Elephas maximus indicus: one gene and its partners. The protein of the gene in region 1 interacts with the protein of each later gene in a biochemical or structural test. Links are inferred from orthologs where the notes say so. Each region holds a gene or a part of one and is shown in the gene's direction. Other genes may lie near its edges.

Region 1 (8,242 bases):
CTCTGTTTCCCATGCGCTATTCAAAGCCCTTTTCATGAGTCCTCAGGGGAACCCAAGGAGGCAGGCACTATTAGGACAGGGAAACTGAGGCTCAAAGGGGTGAAGCCCCAGGGTGTGAACCACCCATGGGACTCTAAACAATCTTGAAGACTTGATGGTGACCTCAGCTCCCAAACCCGCATCCAATGCACTCCCAGACCGCTGTTTCTGCGTGTTTGCATTCACTCATTTGTTCATTCATTCACTCAGTAAGCCATAACTGAGGTGGTCTTGGGGACTCTTTTGGGGGAAGAAGCAGGGAAAATAGTCTACTCCTTCTTCCGTAGGTATCGTAGGAAAGATAAGGTTCAATAGGAGGGTTGTGGGAGTCCAGAGGAGATTTTATCTCTTCCCAGGTCTGGCTACGGAACACTCTGTTGTCTCTTTGCTATGAATTGGAGTTGACTTGACGGCAACAGGTTTTGGTTGTGTCTTCATCTCGCAGGAGAAAAGATGGCACCCAGAAGAAGGGCCACTTTGGAGCCCTGGGTCAACAGGCTCCCTATGTGTTGGCTGTGCTTCTTCCTGTTCATTCAACAGGTATTTTATTGAGCACCTGCTGTGTCCCAGGCTCAAGGTGGGCTCAGCTGAGAAGCACGGAAGATGAACTGTAATGCTTCCTTGGAGGACCTCCCTGGAAGATGAGTGGACACTGACAGTTCAGCGGGACCGACAGATTCTCAGTGGCTTTCGTATGTAAATTGTGGCACCAACCTGCTCCCCTCTCCCCCAGCCTCACTAGTGTGTGAAGATCCCCCCAAAAGGTTAGAGAGGGGATTAAGAAGCAGAGGCTGCTGCAGGGGAGTAGCATCTTGATGCTGGAAGAAAGAGACCCCATTCATCTCCGCTGGGATCTGAGTCAGCAGAGCAGTTGCAGCGACTCTGCAGCACTGGGAGCTTGGGTAGGACCCGGGGGATGGAGCCATGTTTTTGCTCCCTGCTCCACAGGCCCTGTGCACTGGCTGGTCCCTCTGCCTGGAATGCCTGTCCCTCACTCAGGTCAATGACATCTGGGTCATTTAGTTTTTTCCGCCATCAGTACTCCTCTGACTTCCTCGTGGGGCCTGTCTGCCTCTCCTCTCACTCCAAGCCTTAATGAAGGTTCCTGGTCTGTCCCCTCACCTGAAAGCCATCTTCTTGATGGGGACCACTTCCTGGCCCACTCACGGCTCTATGCCTGGGTCCAATGCTGTCCCTGACACCAGGATGGCCACATAATTTGAGGGGTTCATGCAAAATGAAAATGAGGGACCCCTTGTTCATAGATGATCAGGAATGTCACGCAACAGCATTAAACTAATTGTATGGTTCACAGGTGGCCACCCTGTGGAGCCGCCCCCACCTGACACTCAGGAAGCACCCAACACACACTGAAGGAGTGAGTGGATACTGGCCAGTGGGCAGAGGCCCAGCCCGGGGAGGGGCCCAGGACCTGGCCTCTGTGGTAGTGGCCGTCTGGCCGGCTGGTGTCCACATGAATGACTAGGACCTTTGGTGAATAATAGCCGATCTAAGGCAAATTTCCAAGATGTGGAGATAACTCATATCTCCACCTCCCACTTCATTCTTTGGCCACCAGCCACCCACATGGCACTTTCAGACTGTAACCACCCAGAAGGGGGTCTCCACAAGTTAGAACTCTGTCCATCCAGCCCTTGCCAAATAGGCAAACGCCAGCCTCTCTGCTGGCTCTCACTGTCCGCAGTGGGTTTGATAATTCCCTAGAATGACTCGAAGAAACTATTACCTGTACTTACAGTTACCCCTTTATCATAGTGAGAAAGGCTACAAAGCGTTGCGATGTATCAGGCAAGGTCTGGGCGAGGCGTGGGCTGGAGGCTCTATTGTCCCCATGGACGTGCTGTGCCCTCTCCCCTGCGGGGATGCTCTTACCAATCCCAAAAGCCCCAAAGAGAGCACTGGAAGGACCAGAGTCCCCTAGTCATTGGGATCTCAGTGAATATGCATGACTGGAGCCTTGATGTGTTGTAGGTCCCGTCAAGTTGGTTCTGACTCACAGTGACCCCATGTACCACAGAGCGAAATGCTGCCTGGTCCTGCACTGTCCTCATAATCGTTCTGTTTGAGCCCACCGTTGTAGCCACTGTGTCAACCCATCTCCTGGAGGGTCTTCCTTCTTTTCACTGACTTTACCAAGCACCATGTCCGTCTCCAGGGACTGGTCCCTCCTGATAACATGTTCAAAGTATGTGAGATGAAGTCTTGCCATCTTCACTTCTGAGAGCACTTTGGCTATACTTCTTCCAAGACAGACTTGTTTGTTCTTTTCGCAGTCCATGGTATATTCAATATTCTTTGCCAACATCATAATTCAAAGGCTTCCGTTCTTCTTCCGTCTTCCTTATTCATTGTTCAGCTTTTGCATGCGTATGAGGCGATTGAAAATATCATGGCTTGGGTCAGACGCACCTTAGTCCTCAAAGTGACATCTGTGCTTTTTTAACACTTTGAAGAGGCCGTTTGCAGCAGATTTGCCCAATGCAATATGTCATTTGATTTCTTGACTGCTGCTTCCGTGGGCGTTGACTGTGGATCCAAGTAAAATGAAACACCAAGCATGAGGTCCTCTTCCTGGTGGTGGTCCCTCCTGATAACACGTCCGAAGTAAGTGAGACCAATCAGACCCTGCCATTCTAGTTTCTAAGGAGTCTTAATGCAGAGTTAGGGTAGAGCCAATCCATGAATACACTTGCAGTCAAGGGGTGACCTGTGTAGCCCCCTATTTATATATACTTATTTAAGTTTGGCCTGGCTGTTTCAGAAGGACAAAGGGCACCTTTGTTACTCAGGTTATTTTAAAAAACCAGAGGCAAAAAGCCAAATGAAGTTCTTTGTCCCACAGATCTGCAGGCTTGCATATCTCTTCTCCTGGCTGGGCCTCTCCTCTCTCCACCCATGTGACCCCTTAGGCTGCCATCTTGTCCAAAAGCCCCCAGAGACCCAGAGGGCTGCATGGCAGATCTGCTCTGCTCAGGAGAACTGGAGAAAACCTGGCTCCTGGGAGTGTCTCTCACCAGCCCTCCTGCCTCAGGAAGGACCAGCCTGGTGGCTTTCTCCAGCCCTTCAGGGGGGTCAGCTAGGCCCCTAGCAGAAGCCTCCTTCCCCAAACTCAGCCTAAACTTTGTCTGGGTTCCCTGGTGACCCTCCACCTACCCTTGTATGGGAATCAGTGGTTTGTTTGTTGGCCTCCTTGGGACAGCCCTTGGGGGGGGGCATGGTCCTCACTGCCACTGGGACAGCCCCTGGCGGGGGGCATGGTCCTTACTGCCACTCTGAGTAAGGGGTTATTTTGCACCCATTTTAAAGATAAGGAAACCGAGGCTCCAAAGTGTAGTGATCACTGAAGTTCCCTCAGCTGGCAGAGGGGACCCGTAGGCTGTAGTGGTCTGGGGGCAGCGGTCAGCCGGGCACACCATGGGCAGCTTAGTAATATTTGTGGAAGGAAGAGTGAGAGGCAGGAGAAGGACAGAGGCAGAGTAGCGGGCGGGTGAGGTAAACTGCAACAGTAATTCCAGACAGCCAGAGAGCTCAAGAAAATAAAACGAGTGCGTGGGGGTGAGGAGGGAGGCAGCCTTAGCTTTGCTGGCTTGGGAAGGTCTCTGGGAGGCAGTGGCCGCTGAATAGGGACCTGGTGGTGGAGAGTCTTCTACCTGGGGAGAGACTGAGGGCATTGGTGTTGGGGAAGAGTTTCTAAAAACAAAACCTGCTCTCAACTTAGAAAGCCTCTGCACAACAATGGAAGAGACAGAAGAGTTTTATTCTTGAATAAGCACTGAACCCAAATGGGATGCATCACAGGCAATCAGTCCAGGAGAGAAATTGCCAAGACAAAGGAATCCGAGGCTTTAGAGAACTGAGTGGATACAGCCCATTACATTCACGTTAAAGATAAAATTGCTAATTTTCCAGTGTCTTCGTGGCAGGACACCTAAAGTTATGTTAATCTCCTTCCAGGAAACTGGGAGGGAGGGGTGTGAACTTCCTTGATGATTACATTTCAAAAGATGTCTCCCAGGTCCTTGAGAAACATTTTTTTTTTTTAATTTTTAATTGTGCTTTAAGTGAAAGTTTACAAATCAAGTCAGTCTCTCATACAAAAATTTATATACACCTTGCTATGTACTCCTAATTGCTCTCCCCCTAGAGAAACTTATTTGATTTACATACTTTTCGGAAAGACAAAGATCCAACCATTACGAGTTATCTAAAGTGAATTCTGCAAGAACAGGGGAGCCTGGTCCCCTGTCTTCTGCAGAGAATGAAAACCTCCTATTTTCAGTTTGTATTTATTTGTCCTTACAGAGGGCGGGGGCGAGGGTCAGGGGGAGTTTCAGGTGGCCAAAGTTAAGCTGTGGACAAGTCTGGGGGGGTGCGGCGGGTCCGCGTGGTTGGAGTGAGGAAAGCCAGCGAGTGTGTCGGAGGGGGGCAAACGGACGAGTCGGGCTCAGGGGCACCTCCTCTGAGAAGTCCTCTCCGATTCCCGCGCTTCCTCCACGCCCCTCCCGCCGCTCAGCTTCTGCCCCCGCTGCCCAGATCCTTGGGTCCGGCTGAGGTCTCCTTCCCTGTTCGGACTACGAGCCCCGAGAGGGCAGGGCCGGGTGGGCGTCTTTCCTCCCCAGGCCGGCGGCGTCTGGCCTGGCGCTGGGCACCCTGTGGGCACTTGGTCAATATTTGTCGAGCGCGCTGGAAGGGTTGAATGAATCCATTGGGCGCAGCAGGGGGGAGGGCGGGGCCGAGGCAGGTGGGAGGCCGCCGGCGCGGGAGGGGCCCCTGGAAGCCCGCCCTCCTCCTCCTCCTCCTCCTCCCAGGCCCCAGCGCGTTCGCTCTGGGGCTCCCGAGGCGTCTTCTCGTGCGATCAGGGGCGCGCAGGGCGGGGAGAGAGATCCTGGGGCCCTGCTCTCGGCGCCGGAGGTCGAAAGCGGGTGGGTCGCTGTCGCCGGATTGGAGAGCGCTCTCGAAAGGAGTGGGAGGAAGGAGCGCCCGCCCGCCGCCTCCCCAGCGCTCGCTCTCCAGGCTCGGAGGTTTGCGGCTGCTCCTCCCACCCGCGCCAGGCTCCTCGCTCGCTGGAGCGGGTCTCCAAGCCCCGCCGTGCGCCCAAGCGAGTGCAGGGCTAGGGGCCCCGGAGCCAGCCCGAGTCGGGGTGGGGGTCCGGGCAGCGCACAGCCGGCCGGGGAGGGGCCATGTCCGGCGCGGGTGCAGCGGGGCCCATCTGCAGCAAGTGACTGAGCGTCGTGGACGCCGCTGCCCCCCTCCGCCACCTGGGGCGGCGCGGGCCCAGGTGCCCGGAGCCCAGTGCCCTGGCCGCGCGGAGAGCCGGCGCGATGCACGTGCGCTCGCTGCGCGCCGCGGCGCCCTCCAGCTTCGTGGCGCTCTGGGTGCCCCTGCTCCTGCTGCGCGCCGCCCTGGCCGACTTCAGCCTGGACAACGAGGTGCACTCGAGCTTCATCCACCGGCGCCTCCGCAGCCAGGAGCGGCGGGAGATGCAGCGCGAGATCCTCTCCATCTTGGGCTTGCCCCACCGCCCGCGCCCCCACCTCCAGGGCAAGCACAACTCGGCGCCCATGTTCATGTTGGACCTGTACAATGCCATGGCGGTGGAGGAGGGCGGCGGGTCCGACAGCCAGGGTTTCTCCTACCCCTACAAGGCAGTCTTCAGCACCCAGGGCCCCCCTCTGGCCAGCCTGCAAGATAGCCACTTCCTTACTGACGCCGACATGGTCATGAGCTTCGTCAACCTCGGTGAGTGCGGGCAGGAGGAAGGGGGAGCACGCCTCGGCTGGGGGGCGCCTTGCAACAGGGAGGGGGGTGACTTTTTACATCTAGCCTCCCACCTTTCCGCTCGGCGGGTTTCACAGCGGTCAGTGCCTGGCTGAGAGTCTTCTACCTCCGGCCCTAGTGGAGCCCAAACTGTGCTCGCCCCCAGGTAGTGTGAGGCAGGCTCAGCTGGCCTGTGGATGTTATTGAAAGTGTAGAGACCCGCCCGAAGCCCCCTTCTGGTTACGCCGCCGGACGCACCTCTGGGGCAGCAGGCGCCGGCCCTGGTCGCGGCTGAGTTCAAAGCGCGGGGCTCGGTCATGTGAGCTGTCCCTGGCCGGCTCGGCGCTCGCTACCTGGATTTAAAGGGCCCTTCTTGGAGAAGCTGCCTTCCCGCCCGCCCTCGGCCCCGCGCACCCTGCCTGGCCCTGGCCTCCGGTGCAGCGCGACCCGTTCCCCGCTCTGGCAAGCCCTACCTGTCCCTTCGCGGTGCGCCCGCCTTCCCGTGCCGCGCGCCTGGGGAGCCTGGGGGCCTCTCCCCGCCGCCGGCGCCCCCCTCTCTTGGTCTTCCTGCCGGAGCCAGGGAAGAAACGTTGCCATTGCGAACTTTCTATTTTAAATATTTAATGATAGGTCCCGGGCAGGCAGAATCCATTTTCAGCGTTTATCACGTGTGGCGCTCAAACCACCGGTTTTGGCGATTGGGCGGCGCGGGATCTCGGAACAGACGCCGCTGGGGGCGGCGGGGGGACAGGGCTCCCGATGAAGCCTCTCCTGTCCGGGGAACGAGGTGGGGCTGCGGCGGTGCCCCGCGGCGCCCTCCATGGCATCCCCGCATGATTACCAAACTCGCTCAGACTAATCCCGGGCCGCGCGCTGTAGGACCGATGATCAAATATTTGGTTTCCGAGATAACACAGCCCGATAGCGCTGTTTCCTGAGCCGCTTTCATTCTACCTGTGTAACTTGCAGGGAAAATCCGAGCAGAGTCAAGACAGCAAACTTCCGCCCACCGGCGCAGTGTCAACTTGGAAATAATGACCCTAAATCCCCACGCCGGCCACCTGGGGAGTGGACGGGGGCGGGGAAGTGGGGATCCGCGTGAGGGCTTCCCGCCTCTGATAAGGTCGGCGGAGTCCAGGGGACGCCATTGTCCACCCTAAATGATAGCCCAACTCACATAGCGAAATGCGCTTCAGCGAGCAAGGAGTGGGAGGTTTAGATGGCAAAATAACATTTAAAAAGTTGAAGTTATACGAGGCAGCCTGTTGAGAACGAGGCAGCTCCTTATGCCCTGATTGGAACAATCTCTAAGATGTACGGGGTGGAAACAAGCCAGGTCCAGATCAGTGAGCCTACATACATGTTTGTATATCGTCCATGTTCTAGCAGAAGACTCCGTGAACTGGAAATAAATTTTACGGGGGGGGGGGGGGAGGGGAGGGGCAGAACTGGGACTGGGACATAAGGGGGGGAGTCGGGTTTTTCAATGTCCTCACTTTTGCCTGTGACTTTTTTCTTGCCGTGTGTGTTTATTGTCTGTACCAAAAACTAAAAAACAATTCTAAAAATAAGAATAAACGGAAGTGGCACTCTATAGCAGTACTGATTCCCGGGTTAACCAGGGCCTTCTCTCTGGCTGGGATTTATGGCATCTGCTGTTGGGTTGGGTATCCGGGACTCCCAATGCTGCAGGTCCCAGCTGCCGCCTTCAGAGATCAGCCGGGGTCATTACAAAGGCATTTGGGAGCCCTGGCTTCTGTAGAGGGCTCTGCAAACCCATGCAAAAAGCTCTAATGCTTAGTGACTGGCAACTCGGCCAGATCCTGGGGCCCCCCCACCCCAGGGGAGGAGCGGTTTGCTCACTGGATGCCTTTGGGAACTGGGGGCAGGGCTGTTTGCTCCCGTGGGTGGTGGGAGCAAGCCAGGACTCGCCTGGGAAGGCCACAGCTGGGTGGTTTTCCTTCTGGCTGTGCACACACCTTTCAACCCCGCTAGTCCCATTTCTTTCATCTTGAAAGGACAAAGACCGGCTTGTCTGAGCCTCTCAATCAGCTGGGCTGGCTTTGGGCTTTGTGGGACAGCCTTGCCTAAATTTCTCAGGTCTAGCTTTCTGGAACATCGCTCCAAATTAGATGGTGGAGTGGCTTTAACAGGGCGCTCTAGGAGTGTTTTCTCTCTCTCTCTACTGAGGGTAATTAGTTAGGTGAAGGCCTGGACTCAAGTTTGTCAGGACCCTTCTAAGCTTGGCCTTTAATTTCTGCTCAGCAACAGCACATGAATAAAACGTCCGGGCTGTCTGTTCAGTCCTAGCTCCGGAATCTCTCCTCCGAGGGGCTTGGGGTGGCAGTGGGGCTGGAGAGGGCCTGGGGGGTGGGGGGTGGGGGAGATGGGGTGAGGTAGAGGACGTGTCCTGAAGCTCAGCTTG
Region 2 (8,336 bases), on another chromosome or scaffold:
TTTCCAAGTGCCACAATATCATTTAATGAGGAATCTTTCCATTACAATACTTTAAGACGTGGTTGGCCCAGTCATACACTGGTTTGCATTTAACCTGTTGTGCCAGGAGTTACTGGACTAAGTTCTTAAACAATAGGAAGTTTGAGGGCTCCCATAGTAGCTCCCAGAGTTCCTTAAACATGGCCAATAAACTCTTGTATGAAATGCACAATTCATGAGTCATTGATACACTTGGGAAAGTTTAACTTGCAAATAAATACGTATCTGTCTTGTCTGGTTTAAATGTTTACCTTTTGGGAAAAAGTGCCAGTCCTGACAGGTTTCTTACTGGCCCTTTCAGCTTATGATTTTCTCTTCCACCCCTCACTATTCTGATCCAGTTACTTCATTCTTTAGAACATAATATTGACTTATTATGGTCCTCAGGATTAAGACTAAATTTCAGATTGCAAAGCCTTTTTAATTAATTACTCTTCAAGAATAGTCATGATGCAGCTAGACCAGTACTTCTTACATTTGTGTAATTTATAAAACTAAAAACCAAGCCAGTTCCTTTTGAGTCAACTCTGACTCGAGGCAACCTCATGTGCGTCAGAGTGGCTGATTTTTCAGGAGATTTCCAGCCTTTCATATAAGATTCTGGGTGGAATCAAACCACTAACCTTTTGGTTAGTAGCCAATTGCTTAATTGTCTGCGCCACCCAGGGACTCCTGAGTAATGTATACCTGTTGCTGTTGAATCGATTCTAACTCATCGTGACCCTACAGGACAGAAGTGAACTGCCCCATACGGTTTCCAAGGCTGTAATCTTTACTGAAGCAGATTGCCACATCTTTCTCCCTTGGAGCAGTTGGTGGGTTCAAACCGCCAACCTGTTGGTAAGTAGCTGAATGCTTAACCACTGCACCACCAGGGCTCCTAGGAGTAGTGATGAGTAGTGATGCCTTAAATAACTTTTATTAAAATATCACTTAAATGAACCATATTTACTTAGTTACATAGCAAAAAAGGCACTGGAATCATGGTTGCACGGTACACATGCATGTAATCTACAATATGCACACTGACTTCTTTACTATCATATTAATTTCTTTTAAAATCATTGTAAAGGAAGCAAAAGCACAAATTTCACAGATTTCACAAATGATTTGGAGACCTCCAAGAGTATATGTCGTTCTTTTAGTTTAACACATAGAAATGGAATCACTTTACTATAACCTCCTTTAACCCTGGCTTTGCCTTTCTCCTAAAGCAGTCTGGATGTCCACCCAGTCTTCAATGCTCAACTTAAAAGGAACAATCACTAAACCAACTGTAGTAGAACGGCCTCACATGGTTTCCAAGGCTGTAATTTTCATAGAAGCAGCCTGCCACATCTTTCTCCTGCAGAGTGGCTGGTGGATTTGAACCAGTGACCTTTTGGTTAGCAGCTGAGTGTTTAACCACTGAACCATCAAGGCTCCTCATCACTAAACTAGATATAAACTAATCTCTGCGTGCTGATAGCCGTTACACAACTATGAAAAACCAAAACCAAACCAAACCTACTGCCCTCGGGTTGATTACTGACTCATAGGACCCAATAGGACAGCATAGAACTGCCCCTATAGAGTATCCAAGGAGCGCCTGGTGGATCCCAACCGCTGACCTTTTGGTGAGCAGCTGTACCTATTAACCACTACGCCACCAGGGTTTCCTATGAAACCAAAAATAAATATGAACAAAGCTATAAAAATAATGTTTCAAATAACTGTTAATTTAGACAGATGATATTGTTTTGCTGGCCAAAAATGTCTGCACATTATCACAAACATGGTACTACTTCCTGCTAGATCAGGATGTTTCGGATTCTACATGCCCATTACTAAAGGAACAGTTAAAGGCTTATCAGAATTTGCGCATTCCTTCAACTATTCTTTTTTTTTCCCTTCATGAAACCTTTAGAAATTTAACTGCAGCACATCAACCCATCAGGATTTTCACCAACACCACTTCACAGACATTTTACCAATACTCTTCTAATGAATTTACTTCTGGAAGCTGGTATGTATAAATAAGTTGATTTTTTGTTTTATAGGTTTTAATAGAACATGTTCTGTTACTGTTATGGAATGAGGACGCTCTCTGGAACCAAAAGGAAATGGCTTCAAGATGAAAGAAAATCACTCGATGTAGTAATTTAAATATTTTAAGCAAAATAATTTTTTAAAGCTGCAATTTATATTCTGTACCACTTACAAACTGAAGAGTAGATGTGGTTATTGTTTCTAAGTCTAAAAGCTTAACCATAAACAGAGAAGTTTTATGTAAAATTTTATGGAATAAACTCCCCAAGTTTTATAGGAAAATTTTATACATCTCTTTTAGGCTGCTCAAGGCCTTGTTTCCTAATAGTTTTTGAAAGCTGCTGACTTTTAGAAATGAACATGTTGATATGGGCATAGAGGAGGAGATGCAGAACACAGAGGAGATGCCAATTCCCAATGCAGCAGGCAATTAATTAACAAGAGTCATGCTCCTTGAGATGTAAGATCGAGGAGATCTGTAAGATCGAGGAGATCTGTAAGATCGAGGAGATCTGTAAGATCAAGGAGATCTGAGAATCTTAGACTTACAGAAGATGTATGTCTTCCAAGGTACCGTACTGGTGTGATTTTCCACCAGAGTAAATTAGTGGATTAGATCTTGGGTTAAGGGAGTGGTTCTAAACAGGGGTTGATTTTGCCCCCCCGCCCCCCATGTTTGGCAATGTCTGTAGACATTTTTGGATGTCACATCTCTGGGGGGGGGGGTGGGGAGGCAGGACATGCTACTGCCATTTAATGGATAGAGGCCAAGGATGCTGCTAAACATCTCACAACAGACAACAGGAGAGTCTCCCACAACAAGGAATCATCCATTCCAAAATTTTCAGCTGAGGTTGAGGAACCTTGGGTTAATGTGGCAAAACCAGAGGCTGTATCCCTTTGTGGGCCTTTTTGCTTTACACACACACACACACACACAATCTATGTTACAAGGCCACAAACACTATCCAAAATCCTCCCAATCTCCTTGAATATCAATTAGTCACAGACAGGTTGAGTTAGAGGGTTTTGCATGAAGCCAGCCACACAATAACACCATCACTGAAAGGAACAGTTAAAAACATACAGGATTCATTTGCTCATTTATTCCCTTATTCAGCAAATCTTTATTGAGCACCCACATGTGCCAGACACTCTGCTAGACATGGTGGTACATGGTGAGCACAACAGACCTGGTCCCTGCCCTCGCGGAGCTTACAGTCTAGTGGGGATTACAACGAAGGTTAACATGAGGTCAGTTTGGAACATGAGGACTTCTTAGATGTACATGATCCAGGAACATTTACCCAGCAGCTTGAAAAGCTTTACATGTGTAATTTCATTTGCATCACACAACAATCTCATGAGACAAGCTTTATCCCCTTCTGAGTGGCTAAAAACATGCCCAAGGTCCCACAGTTTGTAACTGGCAGAGCAGACACTGCAGCCAAGTGACACTCGGGTCCCTGTTGTCCCCCATTGTTCCCCAGAGTGGGGATACACACAGGCTGTCTTCCATTGATTTGACCTCGATTATCCTCTAGTGATCCCCACCAATGTTACAGGTACCAAGTCCCTCCCCCTATGAAAAAAACGTCCCAGACTTTTCCATTCTCCTGCTTATATAATACCTGGAGATTATCTTCTAGCTCTTTCATGTATAGATATGCCTTGTGTTCCTAATTAGATTGTAAAATCCTGACCTGCAGGGACCAGATCTTCCATTTCCTTTGCAACCTTTTACAGTACTGCAGACAGTCACCCAATAAATGTCTGCTACATGAATGAACCTGTAGAGATAAAAATACTTTATGATATTCCTGTTTATTGATTTCATGCTTTTACTTTGCTTTGTGATAGGGCTGTGCATTATATGCTTCTAGAGGGCAGAGTAAATGGCTCAGTGCTTTCCTTACACTCAGCAGGCACCATGCAAAATTTGATCCTTGCATGCCTTTTGGATGCTCTGGATAATATTAGCACACTGGGGTGTTTTTGTGTATCTAAGGACCGAGGTTGTCAGCCTCTCTGCGGCGGGGAATGTTCCTTTCCTTCCACTGTAAGCTCCCATGGCGCCTAGGACAAGGCTAGATTACTGCAGAAGCCCCCCATGCATATTTTTATTACTAAGGAGGTCGACTGCGAAAATGGCAAGCTCTTCCATAACCCTGCGAAGAAATGAGCAAAGTGAAGGGGATTTGAAGGCACTTCAAAAATGGCCTGGATGAGAATGCTGAGGCTTCTCTGAGAACCCAGCCTAAGTCTGACAACCAGGACCCCAGCTGCGTGCTGGCCGTAGTCCCAGGAGGGAGCCCGCCCGCCGGCCCCGCGCGCCCCCGGGAGCTGTCCAGACAGCCCCGCCCGCCCGCCCGCCCGCGCCTACCTGGGCACTCACCCGCACTGCGCGGCCTCTCCTCCTCCCCACCCCGGCCGCGGGAGCCCGGCTGGGGCCGGCCCTGCCGCCTCCCCTTCTCCGAGGAGCCCCGCGGGCAGCGCGCTTGCAGCCTCCTCCCGGTCCGCAGGCCAGACAGCGCCGGGTGAGCCAGGGGCTGCGCGGCCAGGCTCGGCGGGGCTCCTGCAGGGGGCGCGGGGACGGCCCCGCCCCGCCGCCTTCCCTCTCCCTCCCGGCTCCCTGGATCCGTGCCGGGAGGAAATGATGTGTTGCTGCCTGGTTAATCACAGCTCCAGACACTCATTGGCCGAGCGCTGCGCAGCCACTTCCTCCTCCTCCTCCACCCGCTCCTCCCGCTCCGGCTCCTGCTCTTTGCAGCCGCCGCCGCGCCGCAACCTCCCCCTGCGAGCTGGGGGAACTTTTCGACTCTCTGTGACCGTCTTCTCCAGCGCCCCCCGGGGGGCGAGCCCCCAGCCGCCTGCCGGCCCCTCCCACGGCCATCCTCCCAGCCCGTGCCTCTGCGCCTCGGGAAGTTTATTCCGCCCGCCCTCCGCCCCTTCCTTCTCCTCCTCCTCCTCTTCACCCCGCCCTCCCTCCCTCCCCCGTGTCTTCCCCCGGGGTGGCTGCCGCTGCTGCCGCTGCCAGCCTGCTCTTTGGCCAGCCGCGCCGCGCCGTGCCGTGCCGTGCCGTGCCGAGGGCTGGGAAGCCCCTGGCCCTCCGCACCGCTCGGCTGCAGCCGTCGCCGTCACCGCCGCCGCCGGCCCTTGGCCCCGCAGAGTTCCGGGCTCCCTCGCCGGCTGCGCCGCCCCGCCCCGCCCCGCGCCCGCCGGGCCGCCCGCCCCGCGCCGCGCCGACCTGCAGCGCCCGGCTGGCTAGCACTCCACCTCCCCCGGCTCAGTCCCCGGCCGCGGCGGGACCAGAGGTGAGGGGAGGTCGCGCACCGCGTCTGCCCGAGCTGAGAGGACAGCGGGGGGAGGGAGCCTAGCGGGAGAATGGGCAGGGATTGGGGGTGGGAGGGTGGGCGTCTGCGGTGACTCCCCCTTGCTTTCATTCCTTTCTCCCCCAAGCTTGATCCACTCTTGGTGGGAGAGGCAGCGACGGAACAAAACTGTCTTGCTTTGGGCCGGAACTACTGGTGGGATATGAAGGGAGGCAGAGGCGTGGAGTGAGGGGGTCTCTGGTTTGCACTGGAGGGTGTGTGTGTGTGTGTGTGTGTGTCTGTCTGTGTGTGGTGAACTCCTTCGGGCTGTGCGCGTCTGACTTGGAAATCTATCTGGCTGCCTGGCCACCGGGCTCACCTTCCTAGCTGAGCTTGATAGAGAGTAAAGAGATGGGTGAATCCCCCCCCCCAAAAAAAATCCATCTCTTCCAAGAGTAATTTTCTGCTGGAGAGACAGCCAATAAACTCCGCTCAACTCGCTCCCTCCCTCCGTTCTTCCTAGCTGCAGTTTCAAAAAGCTTCAAAGCCAGGAATGTGGGATTCATCTTCCGATCCCCAGAAGGCAAATGTGGTTACAGATGTTACATGTTGCTTTGCCAAGTTTAAAACCCTTCCTTCAACACTGTAACCAAAACATTGGGGCTACAATCTTGGGCGCGCTGGGGAGAGATGTGTAGCTCTGGAGCCGCTGGATTCCATAACTTCCGTTGGGCTTTAGACTGGTTCAGCCCTGTCCAGTTTGTGCCAGACATGCCCCTCACCCTGTCTCCTCTTTTTCCCTGGGGTTTTGGACGCTCCATGGGAGAGAAGCTGTGGAGGAAGCCACTTCGAGGAAGAAAACGTTTAATTCAGTAGGAGAATAAAAGTCTTCGTTAAAAAGTTCTCATTCCTTTGACTTTTGGAGAGAGGTAACAAAGTAACGTAATGAATTTGTTAATTTTATTGGGCTTTCCTTTTTTTTTTTTTGGAGGTGTGTGGTATCAGTTATGTGTGTCCATACTGTTTTGTGTTTTGGGGAAGAGAAACCCTCGAACTGAAGCATAACCAAGTGTTTTTAAAGAATCCCATCCCAGATATGCAGACTGCTCTGACAGCTCAAGGGAAGGCGGTAGCAAAAATAGACACCACCTCCCTTTTCCCCAAAAAATTCTTCCTGGAAAGGTGGTGTGAAGAAGTTTTAGAGATGGGCTGATCCAAATGGCGGGCCTTAAATGGAAACACTATAGTATGTCCTGGCACTTGTCTCTGGAGGTGGGTTGCTGGCCCTGGGCCCGGGCTTGGGCAGCCCGCAGACACTAGACTTGTGCTGACCTCAGACACCATCCTTGCCATCAAGCAGTGTGCAGACTGCTTAAGTATGAAATATGGGTCTCACCCATTTTACCGGTGGAACACGGGTCAGGAGGTTATCCAAGGCCTGGAGAGAACCTGGATCGTCCATCTTCTGAGACCAGATCATATTCTGGTGATTTAGTTATTTTTGTTTTCTGGCCTGGAATGAAGTGGAAGTCTTTTGAAGCCGACATGTAGGCCTTATGTTGAAGTAATTGTGTTAGATGATAGCATTTTTGCTATCACCCTCATGCACATACTCAAAGGAGGTAAATTGATGTTGAGATAAATTCTGGGTACAAGATCAAGGGCTGTGATAGGTAGAGATTGAGTCATGCTCTCCTTTTCCAGCTGTATTGGTTGGTTTTACTTGAAATGGAGAGAGTGGTATTAAATGAAACTTTATTTAGCAGTTTCACAACTTTACGCCTTGGAAGAGAGTGATTATGTGAATTTGAAATTAAGTTCCTTGTTGCCATTGAGTAATTTAAAAGGATATTAAGAACTTGGAATAAAGATTGGATATGTGTGTCATATTCAGCAATGTAATTAATTTCATAAGTGAGGGATTTAATTCGATTAATAGCATTGTGGTTTTTTTTTTTTCAAACTAGTGATTTACCAAATTTTCTTCATGCATCCGTGGAACAGATAACAATGACCAAGCCAGTACATAAAGGCTATGACTCTGTCCTACTCAGAATTGTACAGATCTCATGATAGGCTTCTAGGTGATTCTCAGGGTTGAATTAAGTAGTCCAGCCTTGGGAAGGGGATGGGGAGGTAGGGCAAAAAATGGATTTGAAAATGATCCTGCTCATCAAGGTCATGATGTGAAGATGGAATCAATGCTTCTGTGCAGTACTTCCAGCAACAAGGAGCTGGGACTGGAAGCTGTCACCTGTGGCTTGTTTGCTGTTGGGCCCCTGCATTCTTGATTTATTTTTATGTGAAGCAATCTAATGTGTTAATTATTATGAAGAAGTAAACTCATAATGGTGGCAAAACCCCTCTGACATACTTTGGGTGAATTTAATGACAGATATGATTTGGAGGGGCTGGGTATGTGCCAGGCACTGTGCTCAGCTCTTTAAATGCATTTTTTTCATTACATTCTCACCACAAGCCTATGTTTTATTATTATTTTACAAGAAGAAATTGAAGCTTGACAAAATTAAGTTGCCCGAAGTCATACAGCCAGTCACTGATAGAGCGAGGATTTGAAGCCAGTGTTCGTGGGACCCCGCAACCCATGCTCAGCCACTTTCACTAGGGTTTACCAAACTTCATTCATTCATATACTGTCTTAATGAGTTTGTCATAGTTAAATCTCATTTAGTCTGTTAATTAATATTTTTGTGTAAAGCACTGATTCACTTACAAAAACAAAACTTAATTACATCATCTTTTAAAAGGAAATGGCGTATCACTGCCATATTTGGAAAACCAACTCACCTGCTAGAAATAGGAGGTATCATAAAAGTGCATTCATACTTGTACTGAAAACCTAAATTCAAGATAATGACTACCTGGTGTGGGGGGGTGGGCAGGGACCTGGGATAAAGATGGAGGAGATAGGTTGGTGATACTGTATGATGATGTTCT
Region 3 (7,787 bases), on another chromosome or scaffold:
GGGGCAGAGACTATATCCATTTGATTCATCAATGTACAAACAGCACCTAGCACATATCCTGTATATAATAATAACTTGTTGAATAATTGAATGAACAGATAAAGGTAGACAATGAAATGAAAACAACCGACTCTCATGCAATCTTGCATTATACAAATTTCAGGACTATACCACCAAAGCTTTATTTGAGATTTTTAGCATTTGTCAAAATGGATGGAGGGCACTATTTTTGAGAAAGAGCCTTGGGTAAATAGCTTATTCGCTACTCTGATCCCTCTCAATTATCTATGGTAAATTCCTAATCTATGAGACTTTTATAATATACAATACAAATTACTAAAAACATGAAATAAAAACAATGACAAAATATAAGCCCAAATATTTTATTAGTTTCCACAAGGATAAATTTCTATGTGAAGTTTCTAAAAAAACTTTCTACATTGTTGTTGCAATGTCTATGCTTATCTCATGGAAGACCAGTAACAAATAGTTTTAAGACCAGCGCTGGTTTATGAACTTACTTTGAATAGCTCTGGTTTACTCCATCATCCTTCACTGGGATTGGTTCTGGTAGTATATCTCAAAGCCTGACCTATTCTTTATTGGGTAGGACTGCCCAAGATACTGCACGACATTTATCATCCTAGCCCCAGGACACTGAAAGCCAGTGACACCATCCTCACCAGGCATTGTGCAAACCAACACACTCCCTATCCCCCCCCATTTCCAGCTGTTGCGGGGAGGGTCAATAGCACCATAATCCAGAACCACGGGGGGTGGGGATGGGTAAGGAGCCCTGGTGGCATAGTGGTTAAAGCGATGACTGCTAACCAAAAGGCCAGCAGTTCGAAACCACCAGCAGCTCAGTGGGAGAAAGGGAAAGACGTGGCAGTCTGAGAACCCTATGGGGTCACTATGAGTAAAAATCAACTTTATGGCAGTGGGTTTTTTTTTTTTTTTTTGGTTGGGGGTGGTTAGGTGTTCTTTGTGCTGCTGTGTAGCATTTAGAGTTGGCACTGTGGTTATCGTTCTGGGGAGATCTAGTTCTTAAGAAAGCTGAACAGGTGTGGTCATGAATATAAATTAGAGGATGGGGAAAGAAAAAAACCCCTCCCCAAATTAATCCTGTTATTTTTGTTTCCCACACATTTACTGGATCTTGAAGGAGGGGATAGTGGAAAGAAAAAGTCCAATGTTACCCTTGGGATGTTACAGAGAAACTACTTGTTTGCTGCGATTTATAGTACTAGCTGGGTTGCAGCAGGTTTTTCCCTCAAAGGGCTGGATACATATTTCCATCACAGCTAGTTTCTCTAAACCCTTTTAACTCACTCGCCCCACTCTAAAATATTCTGCCTAATGTTTTGTCTTTCGTTCATTCCCACATCTTTTTTCTGCTCAGTATGTGTCTTTTTGACCCCACTTGGCACAGTGCTGGAAGTAAATAGAAGTGAAAGGAAGAGTATAAGGGGAAGAGTAAGCAGCAATAAAAGGCAGGCTGCAGCTAGTTTTCTTCACACCCTGGCCACTCATGAAGATGAGGATATTCTTGGAAGATATGCTGTTATCTGCCTTCCTTTCACTTACTAAGTTATCAAGTTTATTCACGTATTATGCTTTACAGCAGTGGCATAAAAGAAATTTGTTACTTGTGCCAATTAAAGAATATCTATATTATCTCAACACAGGAATGGACTTTTATACCAGCTAGAAAGCAGCAAAAATACCTCTAAATTCTTCATGTAAGGAGAACTCAGTATCTTTCATACTGCAAAGCAATTCAGTCATCTTCCTGAAGATGAAGTAAAAGTGTTTTGGCTATTGGTAGGTCTAAAGTCAAGTGAATGCCTTAAGATGAAATTTCCCATGATGCATGGCATACGACCCAATTTCTAAAGCAAGTTAAATTCCAGACCAGTTCAAATTCAGCCCTACTTCAGAGCTGAAGGTTTAAACTTAGTCCATATGTTTTGGAGCCACATGGGGTTCTAGCACAAAAAGGAATCATCCTTTATTCTGGAAGCAGTCTGTGACTCTCATTTACCCGTTTACTCATTAAGCCAACACATATTTAAATCTCTAGATTGAGAGATTCTTCCAGTTGGGAAAAACTTGCAATTCAGATGAACTTCTTGGTGGGACTCTGGACTTTAAACTCCAGCATTAGAGTGGTTACAAGGCAAGGTCTCAGGTTTGGGTAGTGAGTGATGTTAACTGAAGCTATTTGCCCCATAATGCTTTGGCAGACTGGAATTCCTTTCATGTTGCCTCTCCTTCCTTCCCAAATCCAGGTTGTAAAGCTGATACTGTTGTTATGGAAGTGTTGGATTTGGGAATAAGAGAAACTGATTCCAGAACATAGGGAGGAAAGAGGGGCTCTAGGGTTAGCTGTAGCTATCTCCATCTTCTTTTTATGTTTTGGAACTTACATACTCCCATCTTATTAGGTTAAATTATTTTTGAATTTTTTTAAATGCAGGAGTAGGGAGTTAACACTGATTTAGGTACAGAATGCTTGACTGTTGTTACTGGATGTTAATAACGTCCCATGGGATTATTTAACTGTTTACTTAAAGGATATTTTAGTGAAGCTCCTCTTTAATACTACAGAATACTGCTTCTCTTACATTCTCATGCTGGAAAATGTGGGTGGTAAGATAAGGAATTTATTTTCAAGTTTTAATCCTATTACTTGTTATTCCAGTTATTCCACTTTCTCTAGTTTCACAATTCAAGAAATATTGAAGAGATGCAGAGATAAGACAACAGTGGGGCCTGATCCAGGGTATAACTAACATCAAATTCCTGAACGAACTGAAGGTGGTTCTAAGTCAAAAACACTCTTCCATTCCAGAAAGTTAGTGGCAACTCTTGATTCAACCAGAGAATGGAAGATTTATACTTACTCCACTGACCAGCTCACAAAGACAAGAGAACTGCTTGACATGAGATCATTCAGACACCCTGAAAACCAATTTGGGACTTCTCTTAACTATTGCACAGTATCAGCGAAATTCAGAGCTCCATGACCTGAGAACTGGAAATCTTGCAGACAGTCTAAAGAGCCACAATAATTATTAATAACCTTGACAAGTCGTAGAAATGGGCAGATAATTACAGGATGAACTTAATAGACAGAAATACAGAGTAATTTAGAGCAAAAGAAAAAGAAAACAAATACAAAGGAGAAGGCTTGGCTTTGTGGGAAAAATGTAGGAGTCAGTGAACCACACGTAAAACATGAATATGCCATATTAATAGTTGCTTTATTACTATTTCATTATTTTAAAAAGCACAAAAATTCATAATATATATGCAGAAAATTGTGTTTAAGAAAAAGGTCATACCCTAGTCATTCATACAGGTATTTGTTAAGCACCTTTCATATGCTAGACACTTGTGGGTGCTGGGATAAAAATGAAGACAGACAAGATCCCTACCTTCAGGAGCTCACCGTAGTGTGGTAAATGACAGAGCTAGTTTCTTAACATAGTCTTTAGCTTTTATTCTGTAATCAACGTCGAATGCAGAAAATACTGAGTTCCTTGAGGTGGGGATCTATTTTTTAAATTTTGTATCTTAATACGTGCCTACGACAGCACACCTTGTAAGCAATCAACATGGATTAAGGGGCAAAAGAACCCGAAAATAACTAAAATTTGAATAAGCAAATACCTGTCAAACGGTCAAATACACTGATGGAAATCCGCAGTTTTTTCCTCAGCGCGTGATAAACACGCATTTGCGAAACTATTGTGTGCACAACAGTTCTCCACACAATGCTTTGTGTAAAACAAGGGACTGGTGGGAATGGACTCAAATCGCACATCGTGCGTGGTAACTGGTGTGGACACCCTGACTAGGCGCATAGCCCCCATCCTCCGTTGATTTCTCCCCCTTCCCCCGTTATTAGCCGAAAGACAAAACGCTTAGCAGAAGCCACAAGGGTGGGACGCACCGCTAAGGCTGGGCGTACAGACACCTGCTCGTGTGCACAGGGCACGCTGGTGGACAGCTCTCCAGGCGCGGTGGACGGGCTCCCACCCTCGGCTTCCACACATGCGGCGCCCGGAGTCTCGGAGCGGACGAGGCGTCCCCCCAGAGGAAAGACAGGGTGCCGCAGACGCCCCCCGAAGGCGTCACCGGCCCCCCACTCGCTTCGGTGTCCTGTTCCTTTTGGGCTTCCCCTGACCACTAAGACGTGCACTCAAGAGAGGCCAGGGGGCGCGATTTGGAAACCAGGAGCGTACGACCCACAACCACATCCACCCGCCCACCGCACAGGACCCACAGCCCAGCCACAGCTCGGGGGCTTTGAGGCGCCCGCGCCCCTTTCTCGCGGGATCTCTGGCCAAAGAAGGCCGGACGCCGAGGCCTCGCGGTATCGAGCCTCCGTCCGCCCCGCCCCCTCGCCCTCCAGCCGGCCCCGCCCTCGCGCTCTCACCCCTCCCCCGCTCCCGCCTCTTTTCCCCGACAATCTCCTCGCGCTCCCGGCCCGGCACGCGCGCTGCGCCCGGCCGCCGCCGCCGCTGCCGCCACCGCCGCGCGTTCCTCCGCCGCGCCAGGCTTCTAGCTTTGGGCCGGAACCGGAAGTCTGGGGGGCGGGGCCCGGCGGAGGCCAGGGGACCGAAAACGCGGCCGAGCTCGGAGCCCGGAGCCGGAGCCAGAGCCTGGACCAGAACTTGGCCACCGCCTGCACCGCCGGCGCCGCCGCCCGCCGCTCCTTCCCCACTCCGCTTCCGCCGCCTCGGCCGCCACCGCCGCGGTTTCGGCCGCCAGCGGTCCGCGGACTTTGGGTGTCCGGGTTGAAGGTCGGTCCGGTCGTCGGACCCAGCTCGGTTCTCGGACTGTCCGGGCGGCAGCGGGCGCCGCCGCCACCGCCTCCTTGTCGCCTCAACCTGGCATTTTGTTTCGAGAGACCCGAGAGGCGAGCGGAGCTGACAGTGATTTTGACAGTGATTTAAACCCGCTTTTGTTGTTGTTGGCTTTTCGTTGTTTGGTTTTGAGTGTTGTGCGTGTGTGTGGCGGTTTTCCCCGTGGTGCATTTTTTTTTTTTAATTGTCGTGCCTTTTTTTTTTCTCCTTTTTTTTTTTTTTTTTAAACCCCGTGAACGTTTTTTGCTCGGGGTTTCCGAATATGTTTTATGACGGTTGATTTTACACCAGGAGGTTTGTCTCCGAGGAAGACCCGGGGAACTGGATATCTAAAGAGAACTTCCTACGGATTCCCCGGCGCCTGGGGAAAATGGGAGCTGCTGCGAAGTTGGCGTTTGCCGTCTTTCTTATCTCTTGTTCTTCAGGTAGGTGCAGGGAGCGCGGCGGGGCGGCTGCTGCTGCTGCTGCCGCCGCCGCCGCCACTGCCACTGCTGGCGGCGGCGGCTGTTGTTGGGTCACTGAGCTCCGGTGGAGCCTGGGGAGGTTCTCCCCCCACCCCGAGTCGCTCTGCTGCCACCCCCCAGGTCTGATTGTGATCTGGAAACCTCCATGGATTTTCCTCGTTTTGAGGAAGGTTGGCGAACTGATAGAACTGCTCTGTTGTTGTGAAAGTGAGAAAGTCATGGTTTGTGGCCATAACACTGGATGACAGCGCTGGTTGAGTTGCACTTAACCCGCAGATACCACAAGTGACAATTTATGCAAAGGTTGAGACCCAAAAGGCGTATTCAAAAATGTCATTTAGTGTGGGGATCCTTCAAAAATACGTTTTCTTTCTTCTTTTTTTTTTTTTTGTCTTTAATTAGCGCTTCACTCCTGACTATTACGACGCAGATCAGGTCAGTTGCTGCTTAATTTTGACAGTGAGAAGCAGTGTATCGTATCAGCAATTTCATCTGGGTCTCCTCTCACGTTTTCTTCAACTTCAGTGTCCAGCAGTGTTAAAAATAGTTGTAGTTGTTGGAGTATTAACTATAACCCGGTGCAGAAGAGGTATGCCAGTTGTGTGTTGGTAATTTGCTGGCATTCAGCCGTCATTTGGGAGCTCTTTTTGGGCATTGATTTTGCTTACCTACTTATTTTAAATGTTTTGTGTTGTTTTCAGGTTAGAACTGCTCATATGAAATTGTTCTTATTGTTAAATACCTGTAGTCATAAGATAAATTTTGGCCCAAAGTTGAAAGAATAATCTGGCCATTTTATATTTGAAATTTGGATTTTGTGAGAACGTTCTGTGGTTGCAACCAGTGGTCGGAAAAACTAGTCTTTTGTACTTGAAATTCTATAAATGAATACAGCGTCTAGCCTAAAGGTGTGCATATGTACATAACAGGAGAGTTAGTTCGAGAGATGAAACAATTCTAAAGTCACTGTGGATCTGTTAATCATAAAATTCAACTAGTACCCAGCCACTGATTGTGGGGTAGCATTATAAGGGGGGAAAAAAAAACGAATTGATAGGTTTCATGGCCATGTCTTTATCTTGTTTGCAACAGGGAAATTAGAGGGTGGTAGCCTTTTCTTTGTGTACCTCTGTGGTGTGTGTGTGTGTATGTGTGTGTGTGTGTGTCCCGTCCATCTTTTCCCTCCTCCGAGGTGGGTTTTTTTTTTTTAATAGGATCTTTTGTAATGTATAGAATTTTGCTGAATGGTACGCTTCCTTGTGGTTAATAAGTGGATAAAGTCTAGTCTTATGTCTGTAGTGGTATTGATCAGTTCCGGGTGGGCTGAATGTGTTGTGAAATGGCGATCATTGCCAGAGATTAACCAGAAGAATCATGTCTGTTTAAATGGAAGAAGGAACATGCTTAAGGCAGGCTGACAGTTCTTTTTGTGCACGGTTTGGGGAGGAAGATAAACAATGGTGTGTCTGAAATGAATGAAGGCCTTGATAGCATTAGACCTTTTGCTTGTGTGACATGACTTAACCATGTAGTTTTTATTTTTCCCGTAGTACTGTTTCTCCTCTGCCCCTCTATGTTCTGGTTGGTGAACTCTTGTTCAAATCCCTTTTCTGATCGCTTGCCCTTGAGGAGGAGGGGCATCATGGCCACTGGAAGGAATTGTGGACATTATTCCCTCCCAAACCCACCTGAATCATACTAATTGGTGAATGCCGTTATTCTTGAGCAGTCTCCAGGTATTCCTTCTGAAGAAGCAGGAAGGCTGTCGCTTCAGATGTTACAGCCGCCTCTGTGGGGTTTAGGACTAAAACGAATTGAGCATCAGTTTCTTGAAGGATTGTTTTCCCTGGGCCAGGAGTTTAATAACCAGAATTTTGAAATAGTTTTGATGTTGCAAAACATATTCCACTTATATGAAACTAATAGTAAATACTCTAGCCTTGGTTTTTTTTTTTTTTTAAATGAACATTCCTAGTTGAACTAAGCTGTGTGATTCTGTTGAAGGTAACTGAAATAATCATGAAGACCTTACTCCATATTTATACCTGAACATTTTTAGTACTTGAATTGTTTGATTTTCTTTTAAAGGGCTTTTGTTGTGAATCAAATGCACAGTAAAAAGGGCTTATTGTGTTTCTCCTCCTAATTGATTTCTCTATGTAATATATGATCTAGCATGTTGGAAGCATGTCGATGGCTATTTTTATGAGAATTGGAGAATTTCTCAAGTCATCAGTTTGTTGTTTCTGGATTTTTTTTTTTTTTTAATAAATGGGAGCAGTAGTAAAGAACAGTTTTATTTCAAGTGTGTAGGATGAATGTTTACTGTTTATTTTAGTGTTTTGTGGACTTTTATTTTTCAGTTTCCTTCCATGTGTTGTGTATTCTCTAGACCAGTTACGCAGGCTGTACCTGTAGGATATAAAAAACAACAAAAAACCAAACCTGT
Region 4 (7,713 bases), on another chromosome or scaffold:
AGCACACACTGTAAATATATTGTGAGTCAGGGAAAACACTGAAAAGTTCCAAGGTTGGCAAATCATTTTAGAAGGAAAAAGTCATCAGGAACATAAGACTCCAAAGAAACAGATGTAAGAATGACTTTTTTTTTTTTTTAATAAGCTTTGTTGCAGAATTTTTTCCTAATTTTCCAGTTTTAGGAACCATGTAGGTATACGAACTAGAATGGTTCAGAAAAAAAAAATTATCAGGTTTTAGAAATAAAAAAAATTTTTTTTCTGTACAATTTAAAGAAAGATAATATTGAAATGATACTGTTATTAAAATCTGATTTCAAAGGGATTAATTCATATCAGCATATAACATTAATTATTAGACAGCATATAAATAGGTGGATATTATAGCTGCTTTTATTAAGAAAAATTGGAACAATGTTGACACCAAAAGAAAATAAAATCATTTTAGCATTTCTTCTTCAGATTTTTTTTTTGTGCCTTGTTTCTGTTTGAGTTCTATTTTTCTTTAACTTACATATTGGGCAAAATTAATCTGTTACAGAACTAGAATCTATGTGTTATTTCTTCCTATATAAAAATCACAGGTGCTTTATATAAAATTAAATAAAAAGAACAGCAGAAAATATGGTAAAAGGTTTAGAATGTAAATATGAGAGTAATTTGAAGTGTTTTTTGATAGTGAGATTATCACTGATATATAATGCACCAGGGTGAATTATCAGCAATACGTTGTTGTTAGGCGCCATTAAGTTGGATCCAACTCATAGTGATCCTATGTACAATAGAATGAAGCACTGCCTGGTCCTGTGCCATTCTCTCAATTGTTGCTATGCTTGAGCCCATAATTGCAGCCACTGTGTTAGTCCAGCTCCGAGAGGGTCTTCTTCTCTTTTGCTGACCCTCACTTTACCAAGCATGATGTCCTTCTCCAGGGGCTGGTCCCTCCTGATAACATGTCCAAAGTACATGAGACAAAGTTTCACCATCCTTGCTTCTAAGGACAATTCTGGCTGTACTTCTTCCAAGACAGATTTGTGTTCTTTTTGCAGTCCATGGTATCTTCAATATTCTCCGCCAACACCATAATTCAAAGGCATCAATTCTTCTTCTGTCTTCCTTATTCTTTGCCCAGCTTTCATGTGCATATGAGGTGAGTAAAAATACTATGGCTTGGGTCAGGTGCACTCTCAAAGTGACATTGTTATCAGCAGTATAGTCACTCATATTCTATTTATCAATGCTAATTAATATATTAATATGATTGTAAAATTGTTTATATAAATATAAATTATATTTATCTTGATGCTTATATTAATACCTAAAAATTTCCGTATTAGGTATGTTAAACACAGAATCATAGAGTAGAAAGGTATCTTTGATATTTGTTAGCCTCCTCTTCTATCTGTTGTAGGAACCCCTTCGGTAGTATTCCATCCCTACCTCTGACCGAACGCTTCTGTGATAAGAATCTCACTATCTTATGATGTCGTCTGCTACACGACATGAAAAATCTGATTTTGAGCTAAAATCACCCATTTCTAGAGCTAGGAAAAGTGGTTTTGTAAATACAAATGCCAGGGGAGAGTAGTTAAAGACAGGGAAGAGATCTTTAGGAAATTCACAACTTGGCAGAGGGCCTAGGCAAGGGGATTGAACACTGACACCAAGATGTTAGCTTTAAAAGCCCCAGACCCCATTGGTTCTCAAGTCTGGTCTCAACAGCTCCTCACCCTGGCTGTTAGCTTTCCAGGAAGCTCAGGAAGCTGTTTAACAAAATATAAAGGACCCAAGTACCCTAATTTTCATGCTTTTTTAGGATCAGGCTCACATATTACCTTAGATTCAAGATTTTTAGGTAATTTTTTTTAGTGTTCATTAGATTCTTAAAAATGCCCTCTTTGCTATAGAGGTCCTGTAGCCAGACTGTCCAACTTTAAATCTTCCTCTTTCACTTACTATGCTTTGTTCATGTAACTTAACTGACTACCTTGGTTTCCTCATCTTTAAAATGGGAATAAAATAGGAGCCCTGGTGGTGTACCACAGCTCTTATCTACTTGCTTGTAAATTAATTGAAGGGTAATCTGTATCTTCCCCATCCAGTACTCAGAGATGACTGCAGTCACTTCGTCAGTGCCTTATTCCTGGCAGAAGCTCAGAAAGATGCTTGCAGAATAGAGTTAAACCAAGGAAAGCTGATCCTTCATACAGCTTCTGAAAAGATATGGACAATCCAAACCCTTCCTGCTCAAAAACTTTTACCATAATGTCTGGTTTATTTCACTGTAGTTCGTGAGGACTAAAATTGTAATATAAAAATATTTATTTGGTAAATAAAAGTTATCCATACTTCCTACAGTAAAGGGTACCAGTTCAAGTGGATTTCTTTCCTCTTTGTTGTTGTCAGTTGCTGTGGTATTGATTTTCGATTCATGGTGACCCATTATGACAGAGCAGAACTGCCCCCAGAGGGTTTTCTTGGCTGTAATCTTTAGGAGAGCAGATGGCCAGGTCTTTCTAACGCAGAGCTGCTGGGTGGGTTCAAACCGCCAACCTTTGGTGTAACTGTTGTGCCACCCAGGCTCCTTCTTTCTTTACTAAACCTAGTTAATGTCAGAGGATGGAGATGATGGGAAATTTAACTGATGACCAAGAGGAATGTAATTTAGGAGCAGAGACAACTTGGGGTGAGGGTAAAATGAGGAGAGTCTACATTGTGACTCTATGCAGTTACATGAGTACTGAGCACTTGAACTATAACAAAGGTCAGGTAAGGGATGCCAATGACAAATGCCACCTGTTTTGAAAATTTCCTAGTGTTATATTAAACAGAATTATTTTCTTCTTCCTTTCTGGCACCTGGAACCAGAATGTAGGTTAGTCCTGATAATATTTTGGCTCTAATATATGATGGGGTAAAAGACTCTCAGGAAGACTCTAACATTGCTTTTATGGGGAAAATGTGCCCACATTTCACACGCTCATCAATAAACATCTGGAGCACCACCTGCTCCTAAGTGGGAGCTGCATAAATAAATTCATACACAATCAAATTAATTTTCTTACTGATAAGTGTAAAGGATTATATTTCCTGCCTGCTAAAAAGATTTAATAGAAATAAATCGAGGAAAAGGACCAGTTGAAAGAAAACAGTAGGCTTGGAATTGAATAGGCAACAGAAATAGATGTAAAGAAAATGAGAGGAAAGCTACTCAGAATGAAATTGTGTTAAGATAGTATTGAAGCCACATGCCTGATGGTGACTAGAGAGAGTTTATCAGTATTTTTGGAAGATGAAGAGATTTTACAAAAAGAGGAAATAAGTAATGCTGGGGGGTGGGCAGCTGAAAGGCACTGGGAGAAAAAAGAATGTTTGGAAGTCATTCGATGGTTCCCTGGGAAATAGAGTTGGCAAAACAACTGATTTTAAAATGAAGCTAACTATTCTCCCCTCAAAGACTGTGAACTAACTTAATTTATACTCAGCGCCTTAGAAAATGTTTCAACCCTTAAAGATTTAGGAAGGTGACCACAAAGTAGAGACGTTAAGTGGCGCAGTGACTAAGAGCTATGACTGCTAACCAAAAGGTCAGCCGTTCAAATCCACCAGCAGCTCCTTGGAAACCCCATGGGGCAAGTCTACTCTCTCCTATAGGGTCCTTGTGAGTCGGAATGGGCAATGGTTTTTTTTTTTTCAATAGTCAAACTCCATCGAATACAATCGGAAGGGATTTTGTGTGCGTGTGTTGCCGTTAGTTTTTGTTTTCAGTAGTTTAAAAGTATCTGTAAGGAGAAAACATTTCATTTCCCTAGGGGATCCTTCTGTATGTTTCAGGAGCTCCTAAGACCTCCATCCGAAGCTGCAGGCATGGTTTGAAGTGTGTGTGTGCGTTTTTTACGAGGTGTGTCAACGTTTTAGCAACTTCTCAAAAGCGTCGACGACCCTGAAAGGATTAAATCCACTGCACTACATTATCTCTGGGAGTCCCTTCCAGCTCTCAATGTATAGTGAACGAATCTTTATTCCTCCAATTTATAAGGGTTTTTTTTTTTTTAAACCCCCTCTTAAACATGCCCAAGAAAACACATTTGGTTGAAACCGAAGTGATGCTCTAAGAAGCCAACTAAGTCTTGGCAGTTCACCCTTCTATCCAGTGCTGTAGAAGGGAAAGATGCAGGCAGCTGTCCCAAACGCGCTCACCTCTGCTCACACACACAGCAGCGGCGCTGGGGCTGCCCCAAGAGCGTCGGGAGGTGTAATCCCTCCGCTAAGTACTTGGCTCTCAATCTCCAATCACTAGTGGGAGCTGGAGAGGGCGAGTGAAAAGAAAAAAAAAAAAAAAAATTCCAGAGGCAGCCGAGGAGCGAGAAAAAAAAAAAAAGTCCCGCGGCGTCTGCGGCGGCGGCGGCGGCCAGAAGTTGACGGCGCGGCCGGGCGCGGGGCGCAGAGTCGGCGCGGGCAGTGCGGGAACCGCCGCGCCGAGGACGCCAGTGCCCGGAGCGCAGCTGCGGGTAAGTCGGGCGCGGGCGGGCGGGAGCAGTGCGGTTCGGTCCCCACGCGGGTGGTCCCCTCCTCGGGCGCGCGGGTGGCGGCCGAGGCGGTGCGAGTCGAGCGGGAAGAAGAGAGGAGCAGGGCTGGCGGGGGCGAGTGCGGGGCTTGGCGGCCGCCGCTCGGGGCAGGACGGAGCGCGCGAGCAGAGGAGGAAAGCGGGCAGCGCGGGCGTGGAGCGGCGGGGAGGGGTCAGGCGGTGGCCGCTCCGGCTTTGTGCGCGGGCGGCTCTGCCGGGTCCTCGAGGCCTCGGTGCCCGCGCTGAAGAGGAGCCCCGGGCACCGGCAGTGGCGGGAGGGACACGTGCTCCGGGAGCTGGAGAAGGAGGGACGCGCCGAGGCGGGGAGTAGGGACCTGCATTCCGGGAGCTGGGGCGGGAGGACGAGCCTAGGGCAGCCCCAGAACCTGGAAAATTGGAGAGAGCCCCTCAGGCCGGAGAGGCGCAGAACCCGCCCAGGCAGGACCCGCAGGCACCCAACTCGGTGCGGAGCCACCTGTCTCTACGCCACCCGAGACCGAGGCTTGCCGAGGGAAAAAGTGCGCAGCGGGTCGATCCCGGCGTCTCGAACTTTGCTCGGTCTCTCTGCCTTTCTATTCCTCTTTCCCTCTGTCTCTCCCTCGGACTGTGTCCCTCTCAAGTTCTCTATCTCTCTTTCCCACTTCCTCTTTACCTTCCTTGCTTTCTGTCTTGTTCTCACTCCCCACCGCTTCTGTCTCTCTGACTCTCTGTCCCTCTCTCTCCGTCCCACCCTTTTCTGTCTCTCTGTCCCTCCCTCTCTGTCTCTATTTCCTCTCTCTCCCAAGCTCTTTAGGTCTCTGTCATTTAGAGGATGACTTTCTGCTCCTTGTCTCACTCTGTCTCTCCTTTTTTCTGTCTCATTCTCTGTGCCCATCCCTGTCCCCCTTTCTGTCAGGACTCCTTATTTCTGTCTGTGTCCCTTGTAGTGTTAGAGTTGCAGACATCAGAGAAGATTCTCAGAAAGTCGTCTGGTGCAGTTGCATATTCCTTTTGAGTCACACCACTGCAGCTGAATGCTGGGTGCTTCTTATTTGTTCCCCATAGAATGGGACCATTGGTTTCCTTGAGTTATTAGGAACTGCTCTTTTCTTAGTCACCATCACCAAGGTGAGGTCAGTGACTTCCAGCAGCCACAAAGGTGCCAGTGAAAGAAAACAGAGGAAGAGAGCCCTTTAATTGCCTAGAACATGTAAAGAGAATGTACCAAACATATCTGCGCTGAAGCAGAACCACCTGAGAAGAGGTTGCTGAATTCTGGGAAGAAACACAAAAGGCTCCACTAATAATGAGGGGGTTCAACTAAAAAGTATTTAAAAATAATTTGAAAAAGCATTTGTGGAAATCTCTTGGTCTGTTAAATTGAAACCAACAAATGTCTGTTTTTCTACGTGTATTTTTAGAATCCCAGTGACAACACTCCTAATTATTGTTTTGGGAAAGTTATGGGAAATGTCCTGTGTCAACTGGGATATTTGTATTTAAGAAAATATCCAGTCTTTGTACTTTATACCTCTTTACACACTGGCGATCAAGAAGAATTATTTTTGATGGCAAAGAAAATAGGAAAGGATTTGTCAGTAATTTTAAAACATGAGACATTCCAGGGATCAATAATTTCTTTGGAAAATTTTCACTATAAGGATGTTTTGAAGGATATTACATCTTAGTGAAATAAGCAAGTTATTACACACTTAGATCATTGTGTGATGCAAAAAAAAAAGTGTGTGCTGTAAGCAACTAGTAGAAGTGATGGCTTTTTATAGGAAACATAGCTGGGAAATTAATTGCTCTGATTTTCCCTGTTTTCTTTAGTCATGTATAATGTACCTTTGTTTTTTAGCAAAATATGGCCTGGGGCTACAAAACTTGATACAGTGTGTTATTTGTCCAATTTGAATTACCATTTAGAAAACCACCTTTTCCTTTTGGTCACATGGTATAAGTTGATATGATCTCATTACTCATGTGCTAGTGGCTGCTGATGAATTTTAATGGCACCGATTTGTGATTTTAAATCAAAATGTTAGTTTGTGGTGAGTTAGAAATCTTGATTTATGTCATGTTAGTGAATCATCACTGTTTATAGGGGCTTTGCCACCTTGTCTGCCAGGTGCTACACAGCATTTAGTCTAGCAGGGTTGTCTGAAGCTCCCTGTTAGGTTCTGGTCCCTGAGTGACATGCTACCGCCACTCATGGGATGTTCATATATGTGTCTCAGAGTGTTCTGGTTGTTAAATAACATTTGTTAAAAGGAAATCGACTTAATTTTTCTTCATAAACTTTGACAACTGGGTGAGACAGCCTGATAAAGTATTTCTGTTAAAGTAAATGCTGATTTTATTATTATTTCTTTAAAGGTATAAGGTATTTTAAAATGTATATCTTTGGTACATATCATACCCTCCACTCAATTTATATTTATCATCACCCAAATCTAAGGTCACTTGTCAGCTACTTCCACCTAGCAAAGCCTTGCCTAATTTTCATAAGCCCCTCATCTCTTTGGCTTCTATGCATATCCCTCTCAGCACTCACCTCTCTGCTGTATAATTACCTGCTTGTCTCTCCCCACTGAACTGTTATCTCATTGAGTTATTCTTTTTCCTTCTCTGCCTTTCAGGTGCCCAGCACTGTACTGGGCATACGGTAAAAACTCAAAAAATCCTTTAAGGACAATTAGTTCCTATCTAATTTGTCTCTACCTTGTGATGTTAATTCTTTGAAATGCACTAGTTTTAACATGGTGTTATAGCAATCATAGACTTAGGGATGAAAAGACCTTAGAGAGTATCTTCACACATTAATATTAAAGATGAAGAAGATGAGGCCCAAGAGCTTGAAAAATTTGCTCAGAAATAGGCAGGGAAGCCATATTGCCTATGGAGCTGAGGCCTTGTGCTCTTTTCCATACGCCACAGTTCTTTTCACTGGACTCAGGCTTGCCCCCTTTGACTAGAAGTGGGTGAATCTGTCTATAATTAGAAGCTAACAGTTATCATTTAAAATCTGAGGATTTCTTCCCATACTGATCAGTAAAAGCCATGCATCCAGTAACCCATAGTCATTTGTTATACATATGCTTGGAGTTAATGTTTATCTTTCAGAAAACTGACTACTAAGTGCTTTTATGTGCTATACATTGTTC

The links.
Region 2: the proteins of BMP7 (region 1) and ACVR1 form a complex in vitro, tested with the Homo sapiens proteins (2 studies listed by BioGRID). The link is inferred for Elephas maximus indicus from reciprocal best matches to the Homo sapiens genes BMP7 and ACVR1.
Region 3: the proteins of BMP7 (region 1) and ACVR2A are reported together in a solved structure, tested with the Homo sapiens proteins (2 studies listed by BioGRID, with this or other methods). The link is inferred for Elephas maximus indicus from reciprocal best matches to the Homo sapiens genes BMP7 and ACVR2A.
Region 4: the proteins of BMP7 (region 1) and BMPR1B form a complex in vitro, tested with the Homo sapiens proteins (2 studies listed by BioGRID). The link is inferred for Elephas maximus indicus from reciprocal best matches to the Homo sapiens genes BMP7 and BMPR1B.

Annotation. Positions count from the first base shown.
Region 1 is NC_064843.1:11,986,653-11,994,894, forward strand, and holds the start of BMP7 (bone morphogenetic protein 7), read left to right. Parts: upstream 1-4,872; 5' UTR 4,873-5,381; coding exon 5,382-5,799; intron 5,800-8,242. UniProt on the Homo sapiens protein: Growth factor of the TGF-beta superfamily that plays important role in various biological processes, including embryogenesis, hematopoiesis, neurogenesis and skeletal morphogenesis.
Region 2 is NC_064824.1:55,167,536-55,175,871, reverse strand, and holds the start of ACVR1 (activin receptor type-1), read left to right. Parts: upstream 1-4,775; 5' UTR 4,776-5,381; intron 5,382-5,488; exon of another isoform or gene 5,489-6,307; intron 6,308-8,336. UniProt on the Homo sapiens protein: Bone morphogenetic protein (BMP) type I receptor that is involved in a wide variety of biological processes, including bone, heart, cartilage, nervous, and reproductive system development and regulation.
Region 3 is NC_064824.1:44,701,618-44,709,404, forward strand, and holds the start of ACVR2A (activin receptor type-2A), read left to right. Parts: upstream 1-4,528; 5' UTR 4,529-5,244; coding exon 5,245-5,299; intron 5,300-7,787. UniProt on the Homo sapiens protein: On ligand binding, forms a receptor complex consisting of two type II and two type I transmembrane serine/threonine kinases.
Region 4 is NC_064823.1:59,706,403-59,714,115, reverse strand, and holds the start of BMPR1B (bone morphogenetic protein receptor type-1B), read left to right. Parts: upstream 1-4,260; 5' UTR 4,261-4,511; intron 4,512-7,713. UniProt on the Homo sapiens protein: On ligand binding, forms a receptor complex consisting of two type II and two type I transmembrane serine/threonine kinases.